2 linked regions of the Struthio camelus genome follow. The protein of the gene in region 2 interacts with the protein of the main gene of each other region in a biochemical or structural test. Links are inferred from orthologs where the notes say so. Each region holds a gene or a part of one and is shown on either strand. Other genes may lie near its edges. The genes, in order: IFNAR1 and STAT2.

The links.
Region 1: the proteins of STAT2 (region 2) and IFNAR1 form a complex in vitro, tested with the Homo sapiens proteins (2 studies listed by BioGRID). The link is inferred for Struthio camelus from reciprocal best matches to the Homo sapiens genes STAT2 and IFNAR1.

What each region holds. Positions count from the first base shown.
Region 1 is NC_090942.1:120,306,410-120,314,942, reverse strand, and holds the start of IFNAR1 (interferon alpha/beta receptor 1), read right to left. Parts: upstream 3,065-8,533; 5' UTR 2,944-3,064; coding exon of another isoform or gene 2,880-2,943; intron 2,464-2,879; exon of another isoform or gene 2,424-2,463; intron 1-2,423. UniProt on the Homo sapiens protein: Together with IFNAR2, forms the heterodimeric receptor for type I interferons (including interferons alpha, beta, epsilon, omega and kappa).
Region 2 is NC_090969.1:443,249-451,667, reverse strand, and holds the start of STAT2 (signal transducer and activator of transcription 2), read right to left. Parts: upstream 3,110-8,419; 5' UTR 3,070-3,109; intron 2,364-3,069; 5' UTR 2,270-2,363; coding exon 2,139-2,269; intron 2,045-2,138; coding exon 1,894-2,044; intron 1,817-1,893; coding exon 1,718-1,816; intron 1,643-1,717; coding exon 1,550-1,642; intron 1,473-1,549; coding exon 1,394-1,472; intron 1,284-1,393; coding exon 1,198-1,283; intron 1,123-1,197; coding exon 974-1,122; intron 903-973; coding exon 744-902; intron 665-743; coding exon 512-664; intron 391-511; coding exon 370-390; intron 238-369; coding exon 144-237; intron 20-143; coding exon 1-19. Other genes in the region: APOF (apolipoprotein F), read right to left, coding at 4,142-5,167; protein timeless homolog, read right to left, coding at 5,871-5,986, 6,222-6,307, 6,478-6,517, 6,611-6,752, 6,834-6,952, 7,024-7,092, 7,180-7,348, 7,428-7,570 and 4 more. UniProt on the Homo sapiens protein: Signal transducer and activator of transcription that mediates signaling by type I interferons (IFN-alpha and IFN-beta).

The sequences.
Region 1 (8,533 bases), on a different chromosome or scaffold from region 2:
AAAATGAAAACAAGTTGTTAGATCAAAAGTTGCTTAAAATTATACATCATTTCACTCAAAATGGAAATGCTGAAACAAGAACGATTTCTTAATCTCCTATTTGAATTATGAAGAACATGAAAGTATACTCCTATTTCATGACTGTTATAATACTGTTTTATGGCAGACTTCATAACAGAGAGGATAAAGTGATGATTTATATTTTTCCTCAACTCCCTCCCATCTTTTTCAGATGTAAAATCATGACAAGTCTGACTTTAAACCTAAAAGTTTTTCAATAACTTGAGCAGTTTGACAATGATTCAGCATCTGGGACCACAACTTGCGGTAGTGACAAAATCGCTTTTGATATCAGTATGTTTTATTTAAGTTTATCCAAACAGTTCCGTATAAGAAACGGTCAAAGGCTGAAAAACAGATTAGCCAATAAAAAAGATGGAAAGTTTGTTTTCTTCTTCTCCACTAGAAAGAGGAGATGAAAAGATCGCATCATTCTAAAACCCTGATGAATCAGTCGTCGATGGCGAATTCTCCCATTAAAGGGAATTCTTCCATTGCTTAATAAATCAATATTAGAGATATGTATCTTATACACTCGTACCAGTTTTACCTGAAAAAACTAAAACTTCATTAAGAATAATCTGCCTGTGAATTTTAATTGAATTTTAGTTTCCATTCCAAATAGTGCCTGATAGAAATCATGATATTTCTATGCAGAACGGATCACCATTTTCCCCAGGTGTAAAGTATTAAAAACATAAATGCATATTATAACTGTAGCTGCTTACATAGATATGTGGGGAACATGATCTTATGGGGAACAGAAAGGATAGCCAAGATTCGGATAATCCCCATAATTTAGATATTTAGATAATTAGAATCAAACTTTTCATAAATAAACAAATGTAAACCAGACTAAAGTTAGTCACTAAAATCAAGACTTCTTGCTGGCTTATTTTACTCTTGATTAAACGCAGTCACATTTAAGATCAATTCATACTTCTTAATATAAAGCATCACAACACTTTGGTGCTGAGGATAATATTATAAGAGATTAGACTGCCAAAGAAAGAAGAGATTAAAGACAAAAAAAACTTTTAGCAAGATTTCCTATCTTCCTTCCCTTGTCATATTTTTATAAACTCAAATAAATAAAAATCTGTTCTAATGCTATAAGCTAGTGATACTCAAAGGATAAATGACAATTAATTAATTCCAGTGAGTATTTTCAATAAGCGATGGTTGAAAATAACAAAGATTACGTAACACAGCAGCATAACAAAAAGTCATCTAACAACAGAAGAAACTAGTTTTAGCAAGACACAAATATACCTCCTCAGAAGAGGGCAAAGTAGAGCATCACGTTAACTATGTGGGTGGAACCAATGGAAACTTTAACTCAACCTTTAGCATAGGAAGGAAAGGAGATCTATTATATGTGATACTAAAACACATTGAAAAGAACAACAAAACCCACAACCAAACCCATATCAGAGACAATCAAACTGTTATTGGCTCCATGGACGGAAAGGTTCTCTACAGAACCAAGGTTACTGCAAGAACTTTTAATCAGGAGTAGCAGAAAGGAACAGCTGTTTTTTGGCAAGGCAGAAGGTGAGAGGTCACTGCAGCCGGCCAGTTTCTTCTAACCCTTGTGGTATGTGGCACGTTATTCATTTTCTATAAATGTGTGGGTTAATCAAAGTAGCCACATGTATCGTAATACTTCCAGTTCGGGACTGGAATTTTGGGGTGATGCACTAAGCGTTCATTTACAAACCAGAAGATATCAAATAGCTGAAAGCAAGAAACACAAGAGGTCCTCAAACTGCTTGAATCCTACCACAAACATGAAGTGTGGACCCCAGAAAACAGCCTCCAGCCTTCCTTTAGGTATGCCAAACTGAAACAATGCAATCTTATAGAGTTACCAGAACTCAGCCTAGCTTAGGATCAGAAGCGCATACGCACACTAGCCCATAGCTCTAACATCTCCGTTATTCAAACTAGCTTAGCCCAAATATTCTCTGCTGCATTCTGTCATGTATCATAAATATGCAGGAAGGTAATTTACAGCTTACAGGAGATGCCTGACATCTCCCTCTCAAGAAAGCAGGCTCTGAGCAACATGTGGTTTCCCTATGCTTAAGGATATAACAAGAGGCTTATGTTGCTATCACATAAGGTAAAATCCTCCTGCAATCTTACTTTTCTCATTTCCCTATTTAAACTTTATGCTCTACCAAGCTAAGTAGAGATGCCTTTCAAGCAAACTAGCACGATTCAAGAACCTGTTTGCAAAACACTTACACTACAGCCACTACTTTTCATATACAGCAGGTAAACCTGAAGCAGACTGGATAATACAGCTACCTAAATGTATCACCTACGGTAAAAACCGAGACGCTAGGTGGCTAACTTACACCGAGCCCTGCTCACTCAAGACGATACACCCAATCCAGATTCAAGATCCGGGCTGCTTTTATACCCTCCGAGCTGTGCCTACACCACAGCGCCCACGCTGCCAGCAGCTTCTAGGACCACGTCTCACCACAAAGCCTCCTGAAGAAACCGAGAGCCGAGCCGCGAACGGCAAGCACCGCTACGGGTCTCGGCGGCGGGGCGCGGGCGGACAGCAGCACAGAGCCCAGGCACAAGGCACGACCCGCGGCTACCGGCGCCGCCGGGGGCCACACGGCTGACAAGAGGGCTGGGCACGCGACCCCGCTTCGCCAACGGCCGCCAACGGCCAGAAGCGGCGGCGCGCGCCGCGCCGCGCCGACCCCCCCCCCCCACCCCGCTACGCTAACGGACGCGGCGCGAGCCGCCCCCGCGCGCCCCGCCGCCAAAGGCGCAGCGCCCTACCCTCCCGGGCCCACCTGCGCAGCGGGGGGCCAGCGCGACCAGGAGGCACGAGAGGAGCCCCGCGAGCAGCCCCGCCATGGCTCCGCGACCCGCCTAAGCCGCGGCGGCCGCCACCGTCCCGCCGCCCATCCGGCAGCTGCTACCGCGGGCGGTCGCGCAGCTCCCGGAAGCCTCGGGCACGCCGCGCATGCGCGGACCGCCTTCCGCGCCGCTGCGGCCTGCGAAATGGCGGCGGTGGTGGGTGATGAGGGCGTGTTAAGACGGGGAGAAACGTCGGCCTGGGGGCGACTAGCGGCCCGTCAGATGTTTTGCTTCCAGCAGTGGCAGTAGGAGATGTCGTCTGAGGAGAGCAAGTGGGTTTGGACGCTCTGTGGTGCGTCTCCAGAGAAAACCCAGAGAGCTGGGTGTCTTCTGGTGGGGAGGAACTTGGCTTTGGCATAAATTCGTTCTTCTCAGCCGTCTTGTCAGCGCTCATGTTTCCTGTCCTTGGCCTGCCGGTGCTGTCTGGTAGCTTGCTCTCCTCCCAAAGCCGAGAGAACCCATTCACACAACCCTAAGGGAAAGGGGCCTTTCTGACAATGTGCCCCCTTATAGATAGTCAAAAAAATCAACAAATCACAAGATACTTTGAGTCACAGAGGGAGAAACAAAATCTGTAGAGTTTCAGGAGTTAGGGCGATTGTCTGCAGAGGGGAAAATCTGTGTTCTGGTCTAGTCTGCCCTGCTCCTTGAGTGTATGATGAAGGCTACAGTGAGTGTTCAATGCAGCATGCATACTGCTGCCCTTGCAGTGGGGTTTGGACCCCAGCTTACTCTTTTTGCAGGTAGGAGTCCTAGTTTCTTGACTACAGAGCTCGCCTTCCCTTTTTCTGTTTCATATTTTTCAATAAGGTTATCCAGCTGCAATGGGAGGAGCAATGAGAGGTTACCTTTCACTTCCTACCCCCTGAAAACAACCTACTCCTAAGTGGGCACAACAGTGTATTCAGAGATGAGGATTTGAAACTCCAGCAGGCAAAGGCCTGTATTTTCCACATCCTAGGTGCTATGAATATGACATTATTTGTGGCATAAGGAAGCAACAATGCTTCCAGCCATGCTTCTGGACAAAAATGGTATTGGCTGCTGCCTTTTCTGCCATGAGGTGTTTGATATGCTTTGAGCATGTCTACTAAATCTAGGCCCTCTGGGAACACAGGCGGGGAGCACACAAGATGCTCATGATTGGAGCCTAAATTCTTTTGGTCTGTAAATCTTTAAGAAATGCTTGAGGACTACTCAAGCAAGATACACAAATGAGCAAAATCAGCTTTATTTTGAGATACAGGTGTAGGGACCCTGTTCTGACCATGAGGCAGTTAAGTCACCAGTACCACGTGAGATGGCAAAAGTTGAGCCAGAGACAGATCATTTTTATGGTTTGTATCATATTTTCGTATGATAACCTTTCTATGAGTTGCTTTTCCAAGGTGGTCATCAACATGGGAACAGGTAACCACAATGTCAGTTCCGTTTGTACATCTGTCACTCTGCTGCTCTTATTTACTTCACATTGATTATTACTTTTTTTTTTTTTAATTACAATACAGATCCTTTCTAATTGCAGAACTGTAAGTGTCATATTCTTAGGGACCAAGAAGAGAAATGCTAGTGTGCAGCCTTCTGATCAGCTATTGAAGACATAATCACAAAGCTTCAGAAGATCCTAGGGCCAATGTAGTTCCACTTGAAGTCAGTCATTAAATATGCTTCAGAGGGGTGTGTATATCTCAGTCATATTCCATTTCTAGATGGTCTCAAAAATGTGAATGAAGGTGAAATACTATGGACCCAATATTGTCAGAAATACCACAATTATGTTCATAATAAAAAGCCCATACCATTAATATCAAACTGTACTTGTGAAATGTAGATGCTATTAGTTCCTGCAAATGAATGGATGCATGTACAGGCTTACTCGGCTCAGGGAGGTAAAAGCTGCAAACCTGTACCATCAAAAATACTGATGATTAAGAGGAGGTTAATACCATTTTGGTGAAGACTTAGAGGAGGTTGTGGATAATTATATCCTTTGAAACACCCAGTGTCTAATGTTGTCTAGCATGTTACAAGTGCCTATGCTTAGCACAATTTCTTTAAAGAAAAAGTAGTTTATGGAGTTTTTAAGCAATGAATGTAATTTTACTTTCTGTTTTCTATTATTAATCTGTTTTGATCAATAAGTATACAATGCAAAAAATTTATAATGCAGAGGTTTATTTATTGTGAAAGATAATTGATTGAGTGAATGATAGAATTGTTACACTATTGAGTACCAGTCATTTTGGGCTATCATGTCTATCAGGATCATCATATGATGTAGTCACCAGATAATCAGTGAGGAAAAGCAGTTTTGTGATGAAAGCAAAACAAGTAGGGCCTAATCTGTTTGCGAAATATTAGTTTCACCGTGATTACCATGTGTGGTTTCTGTGTAAACAAGTTGTTCTCTAAAACAAAGGCAATTATTTATCTTCTTTATGAAGCTGTAAAACAAAAAAAGTTAGTATATTAGCATTATTGAACCATCTTTGAAATCTTAACATGAGGATTTCAAAGCAACATTCAACACAGCTATTATACTACCACAGGCAGTACACATCTAACCTTTTAGCAGTAAGCGCTCTCTAATAAATGAAGTGAAATGATAACCTTTTATTAGCTCCGTGGTATTAAGAACACCATTTTGAAGAGACAGACTTTCCAGTGGCAGTCAATTTTCTTTTAGTCCTTTGTGAGTAATTCTTTGATAATTTTCTAATACTGACATGCACTGGCCACACTAGGACTCTCCAGATGATGGTCTCCCTGATAAGGAACCCAAATGGCATATTATTTTGCCAATGGTTACCACAAAACAGGCCTTCACTTGGTGCGTCAGTGATGCCACAGTCCTCCACCTGAGGAAGACGCATACCGTCCTATAGGGTCAAACCAGGCCTATACTACGCAGCCCTTTCCCATTATAAGATGGGTCATATTGCGCATGAAAAAATAGACTTGTCCATGAGGGCTCCACCCCTTCCCAGGACTGCTAGGTTTACGGTGCGTGCACGAATCGTGTATGCGGCAGATGCACGCAAGGTTCAGTGTTTCCTGGAAGTGCCATCTTTTCTGACACACATGAACTTATAGAGATGCAGACACCAATAAGAAACATGCTTATTTGGTGCCTGCAGCCTGTTGCTGCACAGATCTGAGGACCACCTGGGAAGACGGCCATGTAGGAGGAGGCAGCTGCTGTCAGAGCAGTTCATACGGCCTCGCTCAGCTCCTCGCACACCCAAGCGCTCCTGAAACTGAGCTGGGGAGCAAGCAATGGGCTCTGGTGGCAGCACTTGCTACGTGATGAGAGAAGGACTTTGACAACAGAAAATGCTGGTGCCTGAGAGCGTGACTGCCAGCTCTTGGCTAGTGTTTCCATCTTGCAGCTCACTTTCAAGAGGCTTCTAGGAAAAGACTACCGAGAAGGAGCTGCGGACTGGATGAATTGTTCTGCACAGCTGTAGGCTTAACAGCCCCTCATAGACAGTCATGAAGTGCTAAAAGTCAAGAGATGTACTCAGCACATTTCTTTCAAGTCTAGTGAGAGGAAAACTAAGCTCTTTAAAGTTAGGAGTTGGCTGCAAGAATTATGAAAGATGTGTTACTGCAAGATGGAAGGTACTCCTATACTAAAAAGAGGAGGTTAGTTAAAAGCATGTTATAAGGTAGAGCTGCTCAGCCAGGAAAACATTGCCAGGAGAAAGAAATTTATGCTGCACTTCAAGAATGGACTGTTACTGAAATAAATGATGCGTTACGATGGAGCCTGTAAAGGATAAATGGCTGCCTATAACATATCGCTTAGGAGGATGTATTGTTGCAGGGCATTTTTCACCCTCAGCCAAATTTGTTCTATGATAATTTGTTATCTTATGCTCAAAGTGTACAGGAAAACATATTTACAGCAAGTTATTTTATGTAAATTGCATTTCACAGCAACCATTTTGCAGTCTATATCATGAAATGAACTGCACCTAATGTGCTAGTCTATTGCTGGTGGAAATAATTAGAAGTCTAATAAATATACCACAGTGTTTACAGTTTATATTCCTGTAAAACTGAATGCAACTTCCTCACTGGTCTTACAGAAGAAAGAGACAGAAACTGGAGTCAGTCCAATCTATTAGAAGACAGGCTCTATCTACAGTACACAGGCAACCCAACACAGGGGAAGATGGTGTGTTCCCCTGTGAATATCACTGTCAGTACTAAAACATCTGTGCAGTGGCGGCAGCTAAGCCAGGCAGGCTCCATTGCATTTATTTCAGTTGGCTCACAGACAAAGGAGAAGCCTTTTGCTTATTTCTTCTGTGAACTCTGGAGCGCGATAAAAGAAGCAAATACAGTATTTCGTCTTTTTAGAAAAGCATAGAAAAGTCGTGCCACAAAGGCAGAACCCTAGGAGGCCCAGCAGTTCATTGTGCAGCCCCAAGGCAGGATCAGTTGTTTTTGTCTCCTTTCTAATGGATATTTGTTTTTAGGTTTTTATGCCACCTTCCAGGCAATATCTTCCATGTCTTTTCTGTTGTCATCATTATAAAACTGTTCCTCATAGGGCTGCCTGTTGCAGTCTAGTAACTTGCTTCCTGTCTATCGTGGACATTTATAAAAGAGTTTATTCATTTCCTGTTTTCAGCAGCCTTTTACATATTTGGAGGTTGTTATGTCCCCATCAGACTTCTCTTTGTGAGGCTACATAATACCAGTTCTTTTAATTTTCCTTCACAGAGCGTATTTTGTTGTCCTCCTCCAGACTTTTCTCAGCACTGGATATAGCCTTCCACATGGCCTTGCAAGTGCTAAATAGTGGGAAGGATTATTTTACGTGTCTCATGGACTGTACTGTGGTTTGTGTCCTCTGCATAGTATTTGCCCCTTTTGGAACAGTGAAACATTTTGGAAGATGAAAACATTACAAATAAAGTATATGTTCAAAAAATGCCTGCTTCCTTCCCAGCATTGTGTCGCACGAAACCCCACTAACTTCTTCACAAATGGAGATTTTTCCCCTCCCCCTTCCAAAGGGAGTGGCATGAAGTAGGACAGGGTTATAGTTTAGGGATTTTCCATATAAATGCTACTACAACAGAGAAAACTTTTGTCCGTGTAAACAGATCTGTGTCTGTATCTTTCTAACATCACAAGCAATTTGCTTCTGAGATTTTACTGTTGTTGGAACCAGAGTATTTCACATTGGGGCAAGCTACATAACAGCGGTGCAAGTTTTCCAAAATATTCCCATGTTCCTTCTCATACTATTTTAGACTTCAGTCTGAACCAGCTGCTTGCTGGCTTCTGTTGTTGCCGAGATCCCCCATGGGATGGTATATCCCTATTTTCTCATTCTAGTTCCTGAATCTTTGCAGATTTGTCCCCTAGTGGAAATTCCTCCCTGACTTTTTCAGGGATTGTCCAGGACACAGCTGTAATTTGAGATAAAAATTGGTCAGCTACCTTAAGCCTTCCAGGTTGTGCTTGTCCTCTACCTTACAATCCCTACTGCTTTTTCCTCTGCTGCTGCATAAGGGATAAAGGGGTCCAATTGCCTTGTAAAGGCCTCAGCCACTAAGGTAGTATAGGATCA
Region 2 (8,419 bases):
CTTTCTGCTCCTTCAGCGTCTGCGGGGCACGAGAGAGTCAGTCCAGGGCCCGGGGAGGGGGCTCGAGCCGGGCTGGGGGTGCTGAGCCCCTGCCCCGCTCTCCCTGCCTGGAAGAGGACCCAGGCGTCCGGGGGGGTCTGTACCAGGTGCTGGAAGTCGCAGACCAGCCCGTCCTGGGGGCCGTCACCCGCCACCAGGGTTTTGCTGTTTGACGTCAAGATGTTGAACTTGCGGAAACTGCGGGGCAGAGAGAGGCCAAGGGTGGGGGCCGCTGCAGCTGGGACCCCCGCAGGGGCTGGGATCCTCCCTGGGAGCCGGGATCCTCCCTCGGGAGCCGGGACGCTTTGGGGGCCGGCACTCAGCTCTCACCCTCGGATCTTGGGGGGGTCCCTGCAAGAGACAGCAGGGCGTCAGCGGGCCCTGGGAGCCCCACGGCGAGGCTGGGGGGTCCCCAAATCCCCCCTCTGTGGGGAGGCGGGGGAATGCATCCGGGTGTGGGGGGGGGCCCGACCTGTCGATGTGGATCTTGGCCTCCATGTGGTGGCTGCGGTCGTGCAGGTGGACGAGGAGGCGGGCGCGGACGGAGAACTTGCTGGCCGTGCGCAGCACCAGCGGGCGCTTGCTGGAGGTGGGCATGCTGGGCTGGAGCTCCACCACGAAGGCGCTGGGGGCGAGCGGCCGGCGGGGGGTCAGGGCCGCCCCAGAGCCCTGCGTCCCCCCCCCCGCCCAGGCTTTGCGCCCACCTCTGGAGCAGGTAGGTGAGCAGCTCCCGCAGCCGCGTCTCCAGGAGGGGCGGCTCTGCCTGCAGCGGGTCCCTCTCGTAGGTCACCTTGTGCCGCAGGTCCCCCAGCGCCCGCAACAGCTGCAGCAGCTGGAAGAGCCCCTCGCCCAGCGCCGTGAACCTGCGGGCGCCGCGGCAGCGTCAGCGGGGGCCGGCCGCGGCGCCCCCAGCCCCGGCCCGGCCCGGCCCTACCAGGTCTCCAGCTGGAGCAGGCTGGTGTCGGCGGGGGCCCCCAGGCAGGCGCGCTGCTGCCGCTCCCGCCAGGCCCCCAGCTCCTGCTGCAGGAAGTCCCGCAGGGTCTCGCTGCGCCCCAGCAGCTGCTGCATTTGAGCCAGCACGTCCTGGGGGGAGACGGGAGCCTGAGCAGGGGGTGCAGGGCAGGCCTGGCCCCCCGCCCAGCTCAGGGCCCCGCTCACCCTCCGGCTCCGGTCCAGCTTCTGCAGCTTGGCCTGGAGCCCTTGGACCTGCTTGGCGTACTCGGGATCGCTGGTCCTGTTCTCGCCTGGGGGGTCAGGGGTGAGGGGGGGCCGGCACCCCGGCCCTCCCCGGCCCCGCGTCTCTGCTGCCTGCAGGGGTCGCAGGAAGGATTTGGGCACCCCAAACGAGCCTTACCCGGAAGGTAGTGCACCTTGTAGCAGAAATCAAACATGTCCTGCGCGTCTTCCAGGTGGCGGAAGGCGCGTTCGGCGTCCTGGGGGCAGAGCGGGGGGTGAGGGGGGCCGTGCCGCCCTGCGCCGCCCGGGTGGCCGTGCCGGCGGGGGCCGTTACCTGCAGGGCCGCCTGGAAGTCGGCCAGCCGGCGCTGGATCTCCTGCTGCCGGTCGCTCTGCGGGGGCGCGCTGGGCGCTGGGGCCGCCCCCCCCTGCGGAGACACGGGGCTCTTGGGCACCAGCCGGCCCGGCGGGCGGGGGGGGGCGCCTGCCGGCCCCCCTCCTACCTGCTGCCCCGCGTGCGCCAGGCGCAGGATGCGCTGCTCCTCCTGCAGCAGGTTGGCCACCAGGTTGGCAAATTTCTCCGGGTGCTCCTCGAAAGCAGCCTGCGGATGAGGTGGAGGGGGGGGTCAGCAGGGTGCGGAGCCCCCCCAGGACCCCCCAGCCCAGCCTCGCCGCCTACCTGGAGGTCGCGCCTGGCCTTGCGCAGGTTGTGTTTGAGCATGAAGTCCTCGTCGCCCAGCCCCGGGCTGCCCAGCTGGTCGCCCAGCAGCGCCAACAAGGAGTGGAAGAGCATCCGGGCGTGGGAGGAGAGCGGCTCGGCCGCCTGGCGCCTGCCGGCCCCGCGCGGGGTCAGCGGGGACCCGGCGCGGTTCCCGCCGCCCCAGGGCTCCCCCCGTCCCGTCCCCCCCCCCACCGCCCCCTTACCAGTTCTGGTCCTCGATCCAGGCCGCCAGGCACTGGCGCACCTCCATGGGCAGCGCCACGCTGCTGTACAGCTGGTCGACCTGCTCCAGGGCGGCGTTGGCCAAGCTCTGCAGCTCCTGCCACTGGGCCATGCTGGGGCCAGGCGAGGCCGCTCGCTCGGCAGGCGGCTCAGCCGCGGGCCCTGCCCCGGCCCGGGGCTCCGTGCAGGCGCTGGCAGCCCCGGTCCTGGCCCGGCGGGGAGCGGTGAGCCAGGGAGGGCGTCGGGCTGGGACCCGGCCCGGGACAGGCGTGCTCGGGGGGGCCGAGATACGGGGTGGGGAGGCAGCCCTCCCCAGAACAAGGGGAGCGTCCCAGGGCACCCCCCAAAGCGGCTCCCTGCACCCCCCCAGCAGCACCCCCAAAGGACCCCTCGCAGGGCCTCCCTGCAACCCCCCCCGGGGGCACCCCCTAAACAGGGCTCCCTGCGCCCCCCAGGGGCACCCCCCAAAGGGCCACCCTGCACCCCCCCCGGGGCACCCTTGGCAGGGGCTCCCTGCACTCCCCCGGGGACGCCCCCTAAACAGGGCTCCCTGCAACCCCCAGGGACGCCCCCCGGCAGGACCACCCTGCACCCCCCCGGGGACGCCCCCTAAAGAGGGCTCCCTGCACCCCCCCAGGGACACCCCCTAAACAGGGCTCCCTGCACCCCCCCGGGGACACCCCCCGGCAGGACCACCCTGCACCCTGCCTAGGGACGCCCCTAAAGAGGGCTCCCTGCACCCCCCCAGGGACACCCCCTAAACAGGGCTCCCTGCACCCCCCCGGGGACGCCCCCCGGCAGGACCACCCTGCACTCCCCCGGGGACGCCCCCTAAAGAGGGCTCCCTGCGCCCCCCGGCGCCCCCCGGCGCCCCCCGCGGCCCCCGCCCGGTGCTCGGCGCTGCGCTCCCACCTCGGCCCCCTCCGCGGACTGCCGGGACGGGGCGGGGAGGGCTCCGTGGCCCCGCCCCCTCGCCGCTCTGCGCAGCCATTGGCGGAGAGCGGCGCCGTGGCCACGCCCCCCCGGCCGGGAGATAAGTCTTCCCGCGGGGTCGCCCGCTTCCCAGAAATGACGTGTGGAGGGGGGCGGGGCCATGGGGGGCGGGGCTAACGGGGCAGGGAGGGGGAAGATGGTGGCGCCCTGCTGGGGGCAGGCCGCGGCGGCAGGGACCTGGAGCCAGGGCCGTGGGGCCAGAGCTATGGGGACAGGACCATGGGGCCAGGAACAGGCTGTGGGGCCAGGGCTGTGAGGCCAGGGCCAGGCTGTGGGGCCAGAGCTATGGGGACAGGACCATGGGGCCAGGAACAGGCCGTGGGGCCAGAGCTATGGGGACAGGACCATGGGGCCAGGAACAGGCTGTGGGGCCAGGGCTGTGAGGCCAGGGCCAGGCTGTGGGGCCAGAGCTATGGGGACAGGACCATGGGGCCAGGAACAGGCTGTAGGGCCAGGGCTGTGAGGCCAGGGCCAGGCTGTGGGGCCAGAGCTATGGGGACAGGACCATGGGGCCAGGAACAGGCTGTGGGGCCAGGGCTGTGAGGCCAGGGCCAGGCTGTGGGGCCAGAGCTATGGGGACAGGAACAGGCTGTGGGGCCAGGGCTGTGAGGCCAGGGCCAGGCTGTGGGGCCAGAGCTATGGGGACAGGAACAGGCTGTGGGGCCAGGGCCAGGCTGTGGGGCCAGGGCCATGGGGACAGGGTCATGGGGACAGGAACAGGCTGTGGGGCCAGGGCTGTGGGGCCAGGGCCGGGCTGTGGGGCCAGGGCTATGGGGCCAGCCCGGCTGCCCCAGCCACCCCGGCGCGGCGGCGCTGCTGGGGCAGGCAGGCAGGGCTGGCAGGGGCCAGAGCCCTGCCGTTGGCGCGGGCCGGGCCAAGTTCCCCTTGCCCCGGGGCAGGGTGACCCAGCCATTGATCGTGGCCTGCCCCACACGCACGCATGCACGCACGCACACGCAGCCAGAGGCGCTGCCAGGTGTTTATTGGCGGCTCAGACGAGGAGGACAGGGCCGGCGTGGGCCGTGGGGGCCGGCGGGGGGTCCCCGTCCGAGGTGAAGTAGCAGATGAGGGCCCGCACGCTGGCCTTGAGCCCCGGCTGCAGCCCCAGGTGGACGCCGTAGGCCACGGGGCCGCCCGCGGCGGCGCTGAGCGCCGTGAGGCTGTCGTAGCCCAGGTCGACGGCCGCCTCCAAGGCCCGCTCAGACGCCAGCTCCTCGCAGCCCTGGTAGGCGTAGTAGAGGCTGGTGCCCAGGTTGTACAAGGTGCTGATGCTGGGCACCCACTCCAGGATCCTGTGCACCTCCTGCTCCCCCGGCGAGCTGCAGATGTCCTCGCTGGAGCGCCGGCTCCGGCCCCGGGGCGCCCGGCTGCACCGCTGGAGCCAGGAGCGGGCCCCCAGCGCCGGCAGCACCTGGGCGCCCTGACGCCGCACGGCCTGGAAGGAGGAGGGCCCCGCGGCTGCCACGCCGGCGCAGGCAGCCTGCAGGCGCTGGCAGGCCCTCGCGGCCCCGGCGAAGCGGCTGTGGGTGCTGGCCACGGGGCCCCAGAGCTGGATGTTGGAGAGCGGCGTCAGGCCGGCGCAGGGCTGGACGGGGACGGAGGCGCCGAGCTGGGCCAGGCTCAAGAGCAGGGGCAGGTGGCCGCTGCCCGGGGCACGCTGGAGCCGCACCAGCCCCTGCAGCAGGGCCTCAGCCGTGGGGCCCTCAAGCTCCCGGTACAGCCCCAGCACCAGCGCCTCGGCCTGGGGGCCGCAGCCCGCCTCGCTGAGCGCCAGCGCCAGGGCAGCCTGGGCCAGCACGCGGGGCAGCGCCGGGAGCTGGGAGAAGCCGGGCAGGGCATCGGGCTGCAGGTCACGGCAGGAGACGCCGGCGGCCCCGGGCAGTGCCTGCGGCAGGCCCAGCTCGGAGAGCCGCGCCAGCAGCGCCCGAGCTGCGGCGGCAGCGTCCGGCCCGGGGGGCACGGTGGAGCTGGCCGCAGCGCCAAGGCAGAGGAGGAGGCTGAGCAGAGCCCAGCGCATGGCAGGTCGTTCCCGGCAGAGCCTGTCAAGGCAGCAGGAGGGGGCAGAGCCCATGAGCTCCCGGTGGCCACAGCTCCCCCCCCCCCCCCCAACCACCCCAGCCCCACCAGCGCCCCCGCTCACCCACTGCCGATGCTCGCGTCCCCAAGCCCGCAGGACAGCCGCTGCGTGTCTGTGGCCGACCCCCTTCTCTGGTCCTTTTATAGCCCCTGCCTGGGCCCTTATCGAGGGCCGGTTGCGACACGCTGGGGGCTGGGCCCGATCCTGCAAGCATCTTGGCACCTTCCCGGAACAGAGGGGTGGGAGGGGACAGAGGTCTCCACCCAGCGCGGTGGGACAGAGGAGGGGACGCAGCAGGGATGGGGCAGTGCTCCCCCCATGGGAACGAAGGCATCCAAGTCAGGGAGAGATTTGCACTTTTTATTTGGTCTCTTTCCCCATTAAAAGGTGGCATTAGAAAAGAAAAGGACATCCTTGAGAAACAGCAACCTTTAAACTAAAAACACGGAGATGGACATGAGAAGGGGAGAGGAGGGGGACAGTGGGAGCCTGCTTTCACCCCACCCTTAAAAACTAGTTTAAAAACCTGCAGAAAAAGCAGAAAACTAAATACAAGGAAGCCCACAGGGAGCAGGGCCCGCAGCCCCCTGCTCCCTGCAGGGCTGGGATACACTGAGGGTCTGGGCAGGGCACAAAGAGCCTTTCAGTCCTCCTCTTCCTCTTCCTCCTCCTCCACGCGGCGAACCCGCTTCCGCCTGCTGGGGGGCTGCAGCACCTCATCCTCCTCCACACAGGGCCCAGCAGGGCCTGGCCCAGCACCTGCAGGGGCAGAGGGGGTCCAGTGGGGGCCGGGACCCCCAGCACCATACTCTGCCTGGGGTGGGGGCCCAGCCCTGCACTCAGCCTTCCTCCCAGCCCCACGCTCTGGGGGGCAGGGACATGGTGAGCATCACCCAGCAGCAGCCCTGTGGGAGACCCCCTGGGCCCTGGTGGGGGGCTGCGAGCCCCCCAGGGAGGTGCTGTGTTACATGCAAGAAGCAGGGGCGCAGCTCACCCAGGCTTGCAGTGTCCTCGTCGTCACTGTGCACCTGCCACCTCCGCTTGGTGCCCGCCTGTGCCGGGACCGGGCCCGGCTCAGCACTGTAGCGATGGCGACGGGTTAGAAGAGGCCGACGCTGCGCTGCCCAGCCCCAGGGGCACAGGTCTGTCCCCACCACACGGGGAGAGGCCAGGAGTCTGCCCCCCCCCCCCAAGCTGGGAGAAGACCCAGGTGTCTGGGGCAGGGGTCTAGCAAGAGCTCCCCTTCTCACCTCTCCAAGTCCGATCCCGGCGAAGCCGGTGGCTGCTCTGCTGAGAGGGACAAGGGAAAGAGCGGATCAGGGCTGGTCCCGTCGCTGGGAGAGCCCTGAGCCCAGCTCCCCCCACCCTGTCCCGGCCCCTCACCTGGAGCTGGCCCCTGGGGATGCTGCGGTGCCGAGAGCTGTCCCGGGGATCCCTCGGGCTCAGGTCCTTGGCGGGCGAGGGAGGCAGCCGCACGGCGGAGCTGCTGGGGCGTGAGGGTGGCCGGGATGCGCCAGAAGGACTCCTGGGTAGAGAGGGGAGATGCTGCAGGGCTGGGCTACGCCGTGCCTGGGGGGCATGGTGGTGGTGGTGGGGGGGGTCTCACCTGCTCGCTGGCAGGGGGCCGGACCCCCAGCTTCCGCAGCAGGGCCTGGAAGCGCCTGTCCTCCATAGCGTCCTCGTTCTCCTCCGAGAGCGGCACCAAGGGCACCGGGTGGGACACGCCTGGGCACAGAGAGTGCCGTGAGCCTGGCCCTGGCCCCGGCCCCGGCCCCCAGCCCCAGGCTCCCACTCACCGTCCTCCTCGCGGTCCCCAGCCGTCCGCTTCAAGTAGTTCTCCAGCCACTGCAGAGGCCCAGCCAGGCCTGCGGACACGGAGAAGGCCAGACAGGATCCATCCTCCCGGAGCCAAACGCAAACCAGAGGCCTGAACAGCCTCAGCCCCCACTCACCTTCCTGCCTCAGACGCTGTGCCAGTCCCTGCCCAGCCCCGTCTTCAGGCACCCAGTGCTCCTCCATGGGGCCTTCCTCAGCACCGTCCTCTTCCTCCTCCTCCTCGTCACTGTCGCCCTCCTCTGCTGAGCTGTCCCGGGCGGGTGCCCCCAAGGGCTCCATCTCATCCTACCAAGGACCAGCCCTGCCTTCCAGCACCCACCTGGGACAAGGCTCCCTCCTCACCCTTCCCGCACACCCCTCCTACCGCCAGGAGGGCATGGCCCTTCCTCCTGCGTTTCTTGTACAGTTCCTTGCGCTCCGACACCAGCCCCAGCCCCAGCAGCTTCTCCACCACGCGGGCCCGGGACCGCCTGGCTGTCAGGTTCTTCATGATGTTGCCCAGGACATCTATGGGGAGGTGAGGAGTGAGTGTGGGGCACCAAGCCTGGCCAGAGCCCCAACCTGGGGGCTGCCCCACTGGGCGCCCACCCCTGCCCGGCCCCACCCACCATCTGTGCCCTGGAACTCCTCAAAGAGCCGCTCCAGCTCCAGCTCCTGCTCCTGCGTCCACAGCACGATGCGGGTGCCCTTCCTAGGGGGATTGCAACTGCTCAGCCCTGCCTTGGAGCTGGGAAAGAACCCAGGCGACCAGGCCCCCTGGCCCTGAGGACATCAAACAAAGGCATCCTGCCCCAGTGGCGGCCAGACCCACCTCTCCCGTGGGAAGTCCTTGACGCTGTTGGCCAGCCCCAGCCGCACCAGCTGGTTCACAACTTGTCTCCGCGTGCGCCCAGGCGCCTGCAGGTGGGCCAGGATGTTTGCAATGATGTCCTCCCCTACGGGAGCAGGAGACTGTTGTGGAGGAGCAGGAAGAAACCTTGACTGCCCCCACTCCTCCCACAGAGGACCCAGGAATCCAGTTCTTCCCCCAGACTCTTACTCCCCCCTCCTCAGGCCGTTACCTTCCACCTCCTTGTACTTCCAGTAAAGCTCTCGCAGCTCCCGTTCCTCCTGGGGAGTCCAGGCTGGGGCCTTCCGTGTGCTGGCCCTGAGCAGAGGTGGAAGGGATGTGAGGGGACAGGGAAGGGCAGTGGCGATCCCCTCCTCAGCCCCAGGGTGCTGGGTCCTTACTCACCCCTCGCCCTCCTGCAGCGAGCTGTAGCCCTCAGCCATCTCGCGGGTGACCGCTGGGCTCTTCCAGAAGAGCAGCTCTACGTAGGCCTTCTTGTTGGTAGCTGCCAGCGCGAAGAACTTGCC